Linked DNA regions of Nothobranchius furzeri. The protein of the gene in region 1 binds, or shares a complex with, the protein of each later gene. Links are inferred from orthologs where the notes say so. Each region holds a gene or a part of one and is shown on either strand. Other genes may lie near its edges.

The links.
Region 2: nup43 (region 1) and seh1l share a complex: the UniProt entries of both Homo sapiens proteins name them as parts of the nup107-160 subcomplex of the nuclear pore complex. The link is inferred for Nothobranchius furzeri from reciprocal best matches to the Homo sapiens genes NUP43 and SEH1L.
Region 3: nup43 (region 1) and nup37 share a complex: the UniProt entries of both Homo sapiens proteins name them as parts of the nup107-160 subcomplex of the nuclear pore complex. The link is inferred for Nothobranchius furzeri from reciprocal best matches to the Homo sapiens genes NUP43 and NUP37.

What each region holds. Positions count from the first base shown.
Region 1 is NC_091742.1:11,413,665-11,418,831, forward strand, and holds nup43 (nucleoporin Nup43), read right to left. Parts: upstream 3,612-5,167; 5' UTR 3,392-3,611; coding exon 3,278-3,391; intron 3,063-3,277; coding exon 2,940-3,062; intron 2,486-2,939; coding exon 2,408-2,485; intron 2,309-2,407; coding exon 2,146-2,308; intron 2,063-2,145; coding exon 1,927-2,062; intron 1,843-1,926; coding exon 1,691-1,842; intron 1,591-1,690; coding exon 1,470-1,590; intron 1,182-1,469; coding exon of another isoform or gene 1,178-1,181; coding exon 952-1,177; 3' UTR 683-951; downstream 1-682. Other genes in the region: pcmt (protein-L-isoaspartate(D-aspartate) O-methyltransferase), read left to right, coding at 3,755-3,935. UniProt on the Homo sapiens protein: Component of the Nup107-160 subcomplex of the nuclear pore complex (NPC). The Nup107-160 subcomplex is required for the assembly of a functional NPC.
Region 2 is NC_091745.1:49,015,963-49,020,533, forward strand, and holds part of seh1l (nucleoporin SEH1), read right to left. Parts: intron 4,450-4,571; coding exon 4,351-4,449; intron 4,262-4,350; coding exon 4,121-4,261; intron 3,954-4,120; coding exon 3,799-3,953; intron 1,196-3,798; coding exon 1,042-1,195; intron 1-1,041. UniProt on the Homo sapiens protein: Component of the Nup107-160 subcomplex of the nuclear pore complex (NPC). The Nup107-160 subcomplex is required for the assembly of a functional NPC.
Region 3 is NC_091741.1:39,616,185-39,620,755, reverse strand, and holds part of nup37 (nucleoporin Nup37), read left to right. Parts: intron 1-1,805; coding exon 1,806-1,878; intron 1,879-2,061; coding exon 2,062-2,156; intron 2,157-4,571. UniProt on the Homo sapiens protein: Component of the Nup107-160 subcomplex of the nuclear pore complex (NPC). The Nup107-160 subcomplex is required for the assembly of a functional NPC.

The DNA.
Region 1 (5,167 bases):
GTTTTAAAAAGGATTAAAATCAAACAACACAGCAGTTTTCAAGCGGCCTGTGTGTAATAGGAATCCATTTGATGCTATTCAACAACAGGTTGCGCATTAGCCTGCTAGCTCCGATAACAACAACTCACCAAAGTCCGCCGCTGTCGCTTTTCCTATTATTAACGGACAGTAGTGGTTTGCTGACCCTCCTCGGCGTCGAGGACGCGATTTGAAGTTAAAATGCCCTTGTTGTTCCGCGCCGACTGGTTCCTAGTCTTGTTGAATTCCTGGGATATCTGAATGACAAGTACAACAGCTAAGCTAACGACGCACCATCAGACGCTGGACTTTCACAATAAAAGTCAGTGGAGAAATTACTTTTTTGCTAAGTTTAGAACAAAATAACACTAATAAAACTAATGAAGAAAATTTTAATGCTTTTTTTTATAAGTTTTTTTTTGCTAACCTGTTAATGAAGTCCAAACACATTTCACAGCACAAATCTTAGAAATAAAAAAATAAGAGCATTAATATGTATAAAAATAAATCAATTTCCCTTTGGGTGAGCACATAACATCTATTTGTAAATTTACAGAGCAACATAAGAGCTCACAAGGCTGACTTTGACATTTTTATGTTGGTAGGTTTGATTTACAATTTTACTTGATTTGTCAGTATAAAAAAACGTAACATCCTGAGACAATTTGAGAAAGTTACATTTTATTTCTTTATTGTTTTTTAAGTAATCTGTACAAAACATTATTAATCTGAACAATTGTGTACAGAATGACATACAAAAACACTAATCCATATTCTGTCACTGCAAAGAATGAAGCATTGCATCAGACACAGAGGTCTTTCATTGCGTAGGTATATTGGCTTTTTGTGTAACAAAAAAAAAGTCTTCCAATGTGTCACAAAACATCAAATTAAAATTTGCATTCATGTATTTATTAGTCACCTCCAGATCTTTTAAACTGGGACCTGTTTGTTGATAAAAATAGCCTCTCCATCAGTTCCACAAACTAAGCACTGTCCAAGCACATCCAAGCTGTTGACAGACAGCGTCTGGCTGGGCAGCATGTGGGTCGTCTCCAGGCGGCTTTTACTGGAGTCTCCGTTGAGCCAGGCACTGATGAGGGACTGGTTTCCTCCAGCAAGGGCCATCGCACTGCGAGAGGTCACGCTGCTGTTTCTGCTACCTGGAAACACAACAATAACACTTTTTACAGTGAAATTACGACAAATAGTACAACATGACAATGTTTAATAGACTGACCTGGTGTTGGACATTATCAGGAAATTCTTTGTTTATTTAACCCTAAATAATGTAAACTTTCAGTAAAACATTCAACTGGATATTTTCTTGATTATGGCTTTTGTGTTTCCATAGAATCTTTATAATTAAGAAAATAGAAGAAGTACATAGGCAGCCTTTTAAACTGAATACCAATAATAATAATAATAATGATTATTATGATGAATAGGACTTGCCTTGTAGAAAGGAGGGCATGTCTGAGTGGGAGGACGTCTCCCAGTGCAGCAGCGATCCATCCTCTGAACACGTGAACAGGTGATCTGGGTTGGTAGGGTGGAAGTGGACCTCCCACACTGCCAGGAAAGTTAGACAAAAAGCATTAAAAAAGTGAAAAATATTTAAATATGTGTGTAAATTATATGTCCATTAAATAATTAAAAATGTACATCTTACTTTCAGCTGAGTGGGCCTCCATGAGGGATGAGGGCATGCTGCCTTGCCTCACATCCCACATACAGAGCATTCCATCCTGGCCTCCTGTGGCTACAATGTGCTGCTGGTTTGGATGTCTGTCAATGCAGTACAAAGGAACTCTGTCTCCTGACCTGATTGGAGGAAAATTAAAATCCACATACATCAGCAAAATAGTAGAATTAAAAATGGGGAAAACGTGCTAAAGCGGATCTTACAAGGACAGAATCTGTGATGCCGAGTTGCTCTGTTGTCTTAGATCCCATAGCTTTATTTGTCCGATGGAGTTCACAGTCAAAATCTCCGTCGTCCTCAGGTAAGTCACAGCATGAATCGTGCTGCTGTCAGCATTCTCTACCAAATGTACCCGCAAAAGCATGTTGACTTGACACCGAGTTAAAGTGTACAGAGTTCTGAATGGGGTGGTTTAATCTCACCTATGACTTGAGCCATACAATCCTGGTCGGCTCTGAGGACAATAATCCTGCCGTCCTCCCCAACTGTGATGATCTCAGGGCTGCTGCACACAACTGCAGTGCAGGGAGCATTGTCACAGGGGTAATGGTGCGCTTTCACCCACTGCTGGGAAACTGAGATTGTCTGATGTAAGAAGAAAAAATGATTTTATAAATAAACAGCAAAGGCAGCAACACAACCTTCATACAGGAGTTGACATCTTTTATGAAAGCTCTACTGCACCTGACTGTTGTGATGGTGGCGGAAGATGGTGACTGCTCCCGTTGATGAGGCCGTGACGATTCTCTCTTGATCCAGGAACTATAATCAAGTAGTATAATCAAGTCTAATTTGGAGGAATTGGACAGCTGAAGCTCGACTAAAACTGAGTCATGCAAAACAATGTCCCACGCACGTGTCAAAATTTCAACAGAATGGCTGCAAAACAAATGAGTCTGTGTTGCAAATCCTCCTGCTGACTATAACAAGGCTGTGCACTGAGAAATCCTGCAGACCTACAAAGAAACAAAACTATTGATGCATAGAACAACAGATTTGCCTTCTGTATTAGCAAAATTCTGAAATGCGCAGAAAATGTACTTTATTTGTTTTTATGTGCATCTCTGCAGGGTTCATTGTTGTTTTAATTTCTTTAAAGTGCGTACAGCACTTTGGTCTGTCTTCTGGTCGATGTAAAGTGCTTTATAAATAAAGTTGATGGTGATGAATAATTGCATTATTAGTATGTTATGACATTATTGTTACAGCGTCTTACCTGGAGGCCAAGAACATCTCCATCGTGCTTGTTTTCACAAATAAGCTGCGGATCTCCTTCAAATCCATCTTCCAGGCCCGAATTTTCGTAATTACCCACGGACCAAATAGATATCTTGTTTTCCTACAGAAATAATTTTTTTTTTAAATAAAGGCCACATCCTTGCAAAAAAAATGACCAAAACGAACCTGACAGACACACAAAAAAGCAAACTATGTGTAACAAGTGTTAAATCCTTTTTGACAGTTACAACGTGTAAGTGTGCATAATCAGGAGAAACACAGAACATTTGAAAAACTGGGTAAATTTGGTTCACCAAAAATATTCAACTAGCCAACCTCGTTGTCCCACGATCCCGTCGCAAAGATTTCTGGTTGTTGTAAAAACGAAGACGACACAGGACGCCATCTGGCCTTGCTGACTTTTTGGGACACGTACTTAGCACTCTCCATGAGAACAACCAACGTTTCTGCTGCCTAAATACGAAAAATATTCTTATTGATGTTAGCTTAGCTCTATGTACGCACCCACTAGCTTTAAACGTAAGTACGGTGGCTCAACAGGATCAAACAATCTGATCTGCGTTTCTCGCAAGAAATGTGAATTTGTACATTCCGCCACCTAGCGGTCGTCTCCGTTGTTACTGCGGCAAAAACCTGATAAAGCACTGCATGGCTGAGGAACGTGGCTTTTATTCCCTTTCGTCTGACGCTGACTTTGATGCATCATGAACAGATTAATTATATTCTAAAATGACATATTTTTCTGCTTGGTCGTGCATCTGAGAGGCGGCTCTGCTCTGTAAAATCATTTGGATGTCTAGTGACGTATCCGCCGCTACGCCGTCTGCTCTGGAGGTTGTCAGCTTCTTTGGTAAAACTATTGGCGCAGGCGCGGCACTTACAGCTGCTGTCTACTTACTCCGTAAAGTCTGCTTAATAATGGCCTGGAAATCTGGAGGAGCCAGCCACGCAGAGCTTGTCAACAACCTTCGCAGTGAGTCCGGTTGCAGGTTTAAAGCGGCAGCAGCGATGAACTTCACCGCCGCGTCGCCAGAAAACGTTGTAGTTTGGAGGCTGGGGTTAGCTTAGGAGCGGTAGCTACTAGCAAGCTATGTTTATGGTGACCCAGCGTCTCCTCCCGCCTCTCCACCCCTTTTCCTAAACCACGTTTTTCGCTGTGGGACCATGTGTGGGACAAGGCAACGCTTTTGTCACAGCAGGGGGGAAAAACCCAGCAGAAATGACATTTCCGTTTTGTTGTAAATCGCAGAAAAGTGGTGTCCTGTGGGAAGTTAGCTTAGCATGTTAGCAGTATGTGCGTCATTTGAGATTTTATGCTACTGCCCACTGTCATTGATGTCTGTGTCTTCTACTGGACTTCAATGTGAATGACAGTAACAGCTGTACATGTCCGGATAGTTTCTGCTGAGCTTTAATACTCGGATACATTTAAATAATGACAAGTTGCTGTATCACTGCAGCTGTTAGCTACATAGCTCTGTGCCAAAGCCCACGACTCATTTCCATTTAAGAAGCCTGATTGTTGAACATTTTCAAATTTCTGTGCATATATTTTAGCTGATGTCTTTCCATGGACATTTAATATCCTTTCACAATATTTTAATAAGAAATCGATCAACCTTAGTCGATCTGCAGAAATCAAAACAGTTTCTTTATTGTTTGCACACATTACAACCTGCAAAATGTGTTTTAAATTATCAAACAAAAAAGTCAGAGTAATTTTGAGAATTTTGTAGGAGGGTGTGCCTAGCGTCAGCTTGGCTTTCTGGGCTTATAGACACGACCTATTTTTCCAGTTTATATCTAGTTACCAGTTCAGATCTTGTTTTTTTATATTCTAAATTAATAAAAGTTTATTCATGTAACCAGCCTGTCAAAAAGACAAACTATGAAGTAAAGAAAACTGTAATGCTGGCATAGAAGTAGGGATGTAAAAGTCAACCGAAACCAGGAACCGATACCAATGCAGTTGCCTGAAAGTGGCTTCACCATAACTTGTCATTTCTGTTCACCTAATATTTCAGTTTTGTGATCATTTCTATGAATATATTTTATTTTTTATCTACCTCACAATCTTTTCCTGTTGAAAGCAGAGAAGAAAATAAAACCTGTATTCCAATTCATTGCATTATTTGTGTGGTAGAAGTATCGGCGAGTACTCAGATCCAAGTATCAGTATCGTATCGGTTTGGACAAAAGTGGTAT
Region 2 (4,571 bases), on another chromosome or scaffold:
TCAACGTGTATCTGGAATGGTAGACGTGGTCAAAGTTATGCAAACAGCTGGTCGTAGGAGTTGTTATATACTACACACATTTGTTACTCAGATTAGGAACAGGAACAACATAACAGCTTGATTATATGTTCAAGAGATAATTCAGCCATTTTAAATGTGTTTTAGTGTAAAAGTTAGAAATGATTACCACGCTGTAGATGGCTTTAACGAAAAAGTCAAACCTGTCTAAACAGGCAGCTGGTCTTATTTCTCCAAACAGAGGGCATTCAGGAAGTAATCTACAGCAGCTGGAAGTTTTCTCACAATTACACTCAAAATTCATTCACAGTGACTGAAATATCCCACAGAATCTAAGGCTGATGAATACAACAGAAGATGAATACAGCCTCACATCAACGCCGACCAAACCTGAAACCACAAACTTCTTAACCAATCAGATGGCCATGTTATTTTCCCTTTATGGTTACATTTAGATTATAGAAAATCCATAAATGCATACAGTACTTCCTAAAACAGGAGCTTTGTTTAAGACAGACAGTTCTGACTCTGACGGCTGTATTCATCCTCACATTCATGGATCAGGGTTGGTTAATGGTTTCGATCTGCTCAGCAAAGAGTTTGGCGTTTCTCCGACTCTGAAACATGAGTTTTGAATCACTTTGCTGCTGGTGCACCGGGACGTGGAGATGAAACCGCCCGTCCCAGCGAGGCTCCCTAACAATACAACGGCTCTGCTGAATCTCCTAAAATAACTACATATCAACATTCATATCCAAAATCAGACACAAGGTCAGTCCTTACATTAGGTAAGTGGAGACATCTCTTTTGACATGCATAAGCAGAAAAACACCTCCCGCTCCACACACACAACCTGCAGCTGGAGGACAGAAGCCAAGCTCTTTGCACCGGGTCAGTGTGAGTCCAACAGCTTTGTCAGTGGGCGGCTGCACTCCCAGTCAGTGTGAGGGGCAGGGAAGTTGTCAGTTGTGACGGTTTCATCTGGGACGGGGTGAGTGGCGTCAGGCACACGACACCACCTACCTTCCTGCTGACATCCCGTTCAGGGCATTCTGGGAGGTCTGGATGGAGGAGCCCACCACGGTGCTCATGGCGCTGGGTTGACCAGACGAACCTGTCAACGGGCTGCCGTCCCCCTTCAGGATGCCGGTGCACTTCCAGTTGTCCATGTAGTTAGCTGCTCAAAGACAGGAAGTGACATCAGTGTTTGTTCATCTTCAGAATGGAGGAAAAGCAATGAGGCAAGGCCTCGACTCGGAGCCTTGTTGTCCAGGACTGAAACACCAACAGCTGCAAGGGATTCTGGTTTCAGCACACTTTGAGAAGGGTATCGCTGCAGACCCGGAGACCACAGATTCAGGCCGACTGCCGAGTACTTTCCCTGATCACTTTCAGAGGACAACTATATACTGCCCTCTAGTGGGCTTTTATTGCAGGTTTAACCTTTAACCAGACTCTGCCAGACGTTCCCAGCAGACCCTCACAATACGTTTAAGCTTGCCAGGTCTGACCGGCATCCTCCCCCCACCATCGAAGCCAACTCACCACCATGCAGGGGTCAGTTGACAGCTCCACCCCTCTCTTCACCCGAGTGTCCAAGACATGCGGCAGATGAAACAACAACAAAGTCTATCATCAGGCCAGCGGAACGAGGGAGTCACAGTGTTCCCTCACCCAGACGCGGGTCACCAGGGGCCCCTCTGGAGCCAGGTCTGCAAGTGGGGCAGGTTAAAGAGCCCCTGGCGGCTGGGCTGTCACCCAGGAAACCCAGCTGGGCACAGCCTGAAGAGGAAACGTGGGTCCCCCTTCCCATGGGCTGCAGAAGCTACCTCTCGGTACCATACCACTTTATTTGTAGAGCGCTTTTAACGCAGCATTACAACCGACCAAAGCGCTGCACATAAAAACAAATGAATAAAACAGGGTATCTGCAGGTTTAAGAGAGCCAAATTTAAGACTTTTTAAGACCTTTTTTGAGGCCACTTTGACCAAATTTAAGATATTTAAGCAGGGCAGCAGTAGCTCAACAGGTTGAGCGGGTTGTCCAGTAATCGGAAGGTTGCAGGTTCGATCCCGGCTCCGGACAGAGAATTCTGCTGTTGAGTCCTTGGGCAAGACACTTAACCCACCTTGCCTGCTGGTGGTGGTCGGAGGGACCGGTGGCGCCTGTTCTCGGCAGCCTCGCCTCTGTAAGTGCGCCCCAGGCCAGCTGTGGCAACATCATGGCTCATCCCCACCAGTGTGTGGATGTGTGTGTGAATGGATGAATGATACACTGTAGTGTAAAGCGCTTTGGAGTCCTTACTCTGAGAGGCGCTATACAAGTGCGGGTCATTTATCATTTAAGCTATAATTTCCAGCTGTTGCCTGGAACCGGTGCTAACCACGCCATGATCGTGGGATTAGCCATCCAGTTACCATTAAACTTCCCCATGGCGCAAGCTCCCACTAGCTTAACCAGCTAATGTGCTCATCTAAAAATAGCCCCCTTTCACAACCAACTGAATGTGTACGGTTCCGCTTACGCCAACAACGTACACAAAAAACGCTAAACACCAACTAGAAATTCACGAAAAGTTTATAGAAATAAAAGAATTTTGTTTATTGGGTCTTTTAAGACCTCTGGAAACTGTATTTAAGGATTATTTGTCATTTTTAAGGATTTTTAAGGCCTTAAATTTGGAAAAGCTAATTTAAGGCTTTTTAAGACTTTTTAAGGACCCGCGGATACCCTGTAAAAAACACAAGCTAAAATAGTCGTGTATATCATATGAAGTAAAAAAAGATAAGAGTTAAAACCAACAGAACAAGTAAAGCCAGAATATAAAAACACAAATTTAAAATCAAACAAACAAGGTGGAAAATCTAAGGATGAGTTCATGCTTCATGGTTTGGGAGTTGAAGGCCAGGGGGAAGTGGTGGGTTTTCAGGCGTGATTTAAAAACGCCAATAGAGGGTGCTTGCCTAACCCGAAGAGGTAATGAGTTCCACAAGTTTGGGGCAGACAGAAAAAGTCCTTTCCCCGCGGGTCTTCAAACGTGCCTTAGGGACAGTTTGGAGGAGCTGATCTTCAGACCTAAGAGCACGAGGAGGGTGGTAGTAATGGAGGAGTTCACACAGATAGGGAGGAGCCTGACTGTTCAAAGATTTGAATGCGAGAAGCAGACGGACACTCAGGATGGGCTTTAGCTTAGAAATTGGCCTGAGGTGGTAAAAGCAGGACCTGACTGGTACGCAGAATATCCGGGATTAACTCCAAATCCTGCAGTCTGAAGCTCAGCTCTGCTGAGGCTCACTTCTAGTTTCTGCAACAGGCGCACCAGAGCATTTTTCCCCAGAGTACGACTTACAAGGCATTTATCCCTCCTTGAGATCTCTGCAGATGTTCTGATAAAAACTAATGAGCTACAGCTGTAAACAAAGTCTTGATACGACAATGCTTTTCTCTGTAACTTAATTTTAATGGTTATTAAGTGTTAAACGATGTGGAGAGCCTGACTTTTAAAGGGAATGTACAGTGAAACTAAAGCTTTATTGTTTCCACCGTCGACATATTTATAGGGTTTCCACAAGTTCTTGTTGGAGTTCTAGGTTCTGTCAAGCCAGACTAGTAGAAGTAAGCGTGGACATGCTGAAGTGGCTCCATGTTTCACCCCTCCTGTTCTAGTTTAGGTACAGAGAACCAGCTGACCGTTGAGTTCATTTCTCCTCTAATGAGCTGAGAACGCTGCACAAACTAACAGATCCAACCAGCTGAGTGAGCCAAAGGCAGCTGCCCACCTTTCCACAGCCGAACACAGCCATCGTCTCCAGAGGAAGCCAGCAGGGTGCTGGTGATGTTCCAGCTCACACGCCACACCTGGGAGTTATGGTTGTCGAACTGAGCCACGATCTGCACCTCCAACTTGGTTGGTCCGGTGGTGGTGCTCTCCCTCCTGTCAGACAGATCCACAACAAAAGTTTAGCTTCTGCCTGTGGGTTTAACCGACGCCTGCAGACTCAAAGCACGTACAGGCGCGTAGACGACCATCAGTAAAACACTTTGTTACAACACACCTTCTTCTGAGACTAAGGTGCAGAAAAACAAGGATGAAGACATCACCTCAAAGGAACAAGCTTAAATATTCTGACATCTTTTGTTGCGATGGCGAGGACGTGGAAGGACCTTCCCAAGTTAGGAGCAAATGCGATATCGTGGACTGCATCTGTGACTGTCATCAGTGTCTCTGCTTTACTGTACTTCCTTTGAAACAGAACAGGGAGAAATGTAATGAAACCCCTTTAGGTAGTACGAGTGTACACACACACACACACACACACAGGAGGACCTACCGTGTGTTTTCATTATACTCATAAATCTGAACCTTCCCGCCGTAGGTCACGTTGCTGTCATCACTCCCCACAGCAAACATGGGGGGATGGGCACGAGAGCTGCGGGAACACAAGACAACATCATCACTGACGGCTAAACATGGGACGGTTAAAGGACCACTGTCCACGTTTAAGTGACGTCCGATCAGTAGTTAGAACCCTACCAGCAGGTGGGAGGCGTC
Region 3 (4,571 bases), on another chromosome or scaffold:
TGTACGTGCACACTCCTTAACGAAAATAACAGCTGAGACAGTCCCGTGTGTGTGTGTGTGTGTGTGTGTGTGTGTGTGTGTGTGTGTGTGTGTGTGTGTGTGTGTGTGTGTGTGTGTGTGTGTGTGTGTGTGTGTGTGTGGCCCAGAGGACAGAGGACAGGAGAACGCTAATTAATGGAATAATTTGGTTCTGTAGCTTTCTCTTCAGCACAGCCGACAAAGGTTTATGATGGGTCAGTCCTCCTGCATGCTCAGATCATTCCCTTCCCTTGCTTGAAAAATTGTTCCAAAATGAAAGTTGAGCCCACATCTTTTTTATCTGTGAATTCAATGCCGTTCGGCGAGTCTCAAATAAAAATGTGGGCATCTTACTGTAAGAAAATATACCATTAATGTAAAAAAGAAACTCAAAATGAACTATGTTCACATCCAGAATCAAACCCAGGTCTTCTGAATGGGAGTCAGACGTTTTACAAGGTGAGCTACACACCCGTGAAATTCACAGTATCTGTAACTTTTATATCCTTGATGACACCTGAAACAACGTCAAACCAAAGAACGGTTCAAAGTGAAAATGGCTATTTTGTTGCTAATTTGCAGGAAATATCTAGAAGAAAGTTCTACAGAAAGTAGCTAAGGGTCCTCAGAAATGTAGCTAGCTTTGTCACTAGGCGTTAGGAACAGCGACAAAGTGGCACTGCCTCTCTCTCTGCTGCTAAAGCTACGGATAGCAAATGCTACGGGTTATGCCTGAGCGTGAACGTGCATGAAGCAGCCTGCTCGACCCGAGCATCTCTCTTTTTCTGTGATTTTACAGAAAAACAGGCAATCACAGTAAAAATGCCAGGGCTCATTCTACAGGACCAGGCATTGCAGGAGAATGTATGAAGAAGAAATGTATTATTTCTGTACATGTTTTGGCTGTCACACTTCCATAATGTCCCTTTAAAGACCCACTTTTATGATGTGGCTTTTAGACAGTGACTCGTTTTAGTGTTTTATTGTGTTAATGTTTTAATGTGATCTTAGTATTCCTCATGTTTTATCTGCTTTTGATCGGTATTTTTATCTTCTGCTTTAGTTGCTTGGGTTGGTTGTGTTTTGGTTTAACCTGTGCAGCACCGTGAGCAGCTCCCACACTGCGTTTTAAACGTGCTATATAAATAAACTATGGTATGGTATGGTATGGTTCATATGTATATTTATTTTATTATGCGAGAAGTGAGACATCTTCACAAAGAGAAAAAAATAAAACACAACTCCATAGAGTTGGAGTGTTTTCGAGCCGGTCCCTGTAAAACCGAGTCCGCTGCAGCAGCAAGAACCTGAACCACGTCGAGGGTGTTTGTAGTGACAGCATGCCAAGTCCATCTGTGCCTGCGCCTGAAAATGTGTGAACCGCTATCTGTTTATTCTGGTGATATGTGTGTGTTTTTCTTGTCATAAGTGAGTTAGTGTAATTGTGTGAGTAATTGCAGGCGCTGGTGTATACGAGGACTGATTAGAGGGGAAAGTCCTCTCCCTGGCTCGGAACAGGGTTTCAAACAAAGACATGCGTACATGGCGTGAGCGATCTTGTTTTTCTCCGTGTTTATCTTTGCTTGCAATTAGAATATCCCTGGCAGTGTTTCCACTGATCCCAGTCCAAGTTTCTGCCACACACAGACTCTGACTCAGAGGTGTCAGCCCGGGCGGCTGCAGGTGTGTGTGCAGAAAGATGTCGTGTGTCACCGAGTCTGTTTTTATGTTCTCTCTTTTGTTTATTTTTAAATCTCCCCTTTCTTTTCCTCTTCCTCTCTTTGCAGATTGTGCACCGCTGCAGCAGACAGAAAACTACGCCTGCTGACTTCTGATCTTCAGGAGCGGCACGAAGTCAAGGTAGCGCAACATCTGGAGCACATTGGCCAGAAACTTCGCTTGTCATTAGGAGTCTCCACGATCAAGTCTAGCAGGAAACAGATCTGCAGACTTAGCAAAGCAACATTTGCAGAAAACATTTATCTACCAATTTAATGGAATTTTTTTTCCCTTACCTGTAGTTTTCTCATGTTTGTTGCCTAGGCGATGGAGGGCCACACCAGCTACATTAACCATTTGGTGTTTGAGCCCACAGAAGGGAAACAAATCGCTTCCGTCAGTGATGATCACACTTGCAGGTCCAAACTATTTTATTTCTCTTTGTGTGTGTGTGTGTGTGCGTGTGTGTGTTCGTGTTCATTCCCAGCTTCTAATTTTCAGTCCTGTTTTTGGTTAATGGTGCAGAAAGACCTGACTGCGTTTCCACCGTGAAACTTGACGCTAAGCACAACACGGTCCAGTGTGACCGTGCATAAGCACAGAGCTGCTTTGTAGCTTCCTCTTGCTAATTGGTTAAATATGGAAATCCAATTAGCTGCAGTGAGATTTTTTTTCCCCCCTCTTAACAAGGATTCCTAAATTTTCCTTTTCAATTAAGGCTGGAAAAGGTGAAACATGGCGTCACCAGTGAGGGTCAGTGCTGGTTTTAGCTGCTCATTAGTGCTTATTTATTCATATTTGCTGTTTCTTTGAACTAGTGGTGTCAAGTCCGGCTCCTTGTTAGGTGTTGCTCTTCCCAGACGTTAGATCCAAGTCAAGTCAACTTTATTGATAAAGCACTTTACAACAGCATAAAAACTGACCAAAGTACTTAACAAGCCAAAAAGAACAGAAGTTCCCTAAAAACTCTAAAAATAAGATAAAAAGTTCATCACAAAGTAAAAACATGATAAAAACAAACATATCAAACTGACATAAAAGCTACTAAAATCAGATGCATTCTCAAACTGAATTAAAAGCAACTGAGAACAGATGAGTCTTTAAAAGTGATTTAAAACCCGACAGTGACGAAACCATCCTAATCTGAATTGGGGGTGCATTCCACAACCTTGGAGCTCCATCACCCCTGAGCTTGCTCTTTGTTCTCGGCACCTCCAGGAAAAACTGGTCGGCTGACCTCAGTGACCGAGACGGGGAGTGAGTAACTAAAACTTCACACAGATACTGCGGAGCAAGGCCTTGTACAGCTTTAAAAGCCAATAAAAGAACCTTGTACTGGACCCTAAAATCCACAGGCAGCCAGTGCAGCGAAGCTAAAATTGGGGTATAGTGCTCCCTCTTTCTCGAGCCCGTCAATAGGCGTGCTGCTGCATTTTGCACCATTTGAAGACGGGAGAGGTGAGACTGAGGAAGACCAAGGTACAGTGCATTGATGTAATGAACGCGTGAATCACCGTCTCAGAGTCATGACTTGAGAGCAGACGCTTAACCTTGGCGATCCTCCTTAACTGATAAAAACCGTCTGATTTGCTTTTCCAGAAGCAGATCACTGTCAAGCTGGACTCCCAGACTGGTTTCAAAAATAGGCTAGCGGACCAAGGTCAGCAGAACATGGCCCACTGGACACACTAGGACTAAAAAGCATGACCTCAGTCTTGTCATTATTAAAATGTAAAAAATTTGCAGACATCCAGGTTTTAACCTCATCGAGGCAGTTTAGAAGAGGATCTAAAGAATTGGGTAGGCCACGTTAAACGGGAATATAAACCTGGGTGTCGTCTGCATATAGATGAAAAGAACATCCATGTTTCGTAAAAATCGAACCCAGAATCCAGTGGTTGGATGATCTCCTTAGCATGACCTCTGGCTCTGCAGAAGCAAAGAAGAGAAGTACTGAAGTGGTTTGAACCCTTTAGTTCAAAATGCTTCAACATTTCTAACTTGGTGCACATCTTTCCTGTTTTGAGTATTTTGCATCCTTTAGAAATGCTTGTCAGCACGTGTCTGTAGGAATTATAATATTTAAATATTCACTCTGGCATCTGATTAAAAACGAGTAATCCTGCCTTACTTGTCAGGATATATACGCACAGTTAGCTGATGATGAGGTTTATGGTCACAATAAACACGAGCAGAGCCAGAAAAATGCAAACGCAAGCATCTTGGTTGCATTTTTGTTGTGGAAATTCCACATTTATCTGTAAAATACTAATAATCTGTTATGATGAAACATTTAGACGGACACGAGGATCGGTCCACGTCTGTGATCACGCCGTATAAACGTCCTCCGCTCCCAGCTCCCGAACCCCCTCCCGCCCCTCTGCCGACTGTCCAGAGAAAACAGGAGCCCGCTCCATCTGCTGAAAGGTTTAAATTCTGTCATGCTGAGAAAATACGGGACGAGGTAGGAAGACGGGCGGAACGAGGGATGGATCAGGTTAACAGGAGAGTCAGCCCACACAAACGGAGCCTTGATCTGAGAGGAGGGAGGGTTATGTCAGCATGTGTAGGTTCACGACCTCTCCGTCAGCCTGTTGGCTTTGGCCGGAGGGCCTCCACTATAAGTTTGCTTAGTTTTGTCATCGCCGTCCCCTGCAGTGTTGGGACCTCTGCTGCAACCTGATGCTGCAGTATCTAGGCGGGGAACCAGACTCCACTTCCTCAGGCTGTAGTCTAAACAGCTCAGTGGGTCACTATAGATCAGTGGTAATCAATTCAAACCCAATAGGTCCCGTCCTTAAAATTTCTTTCATAACGAGGTCCAAACCTCACGT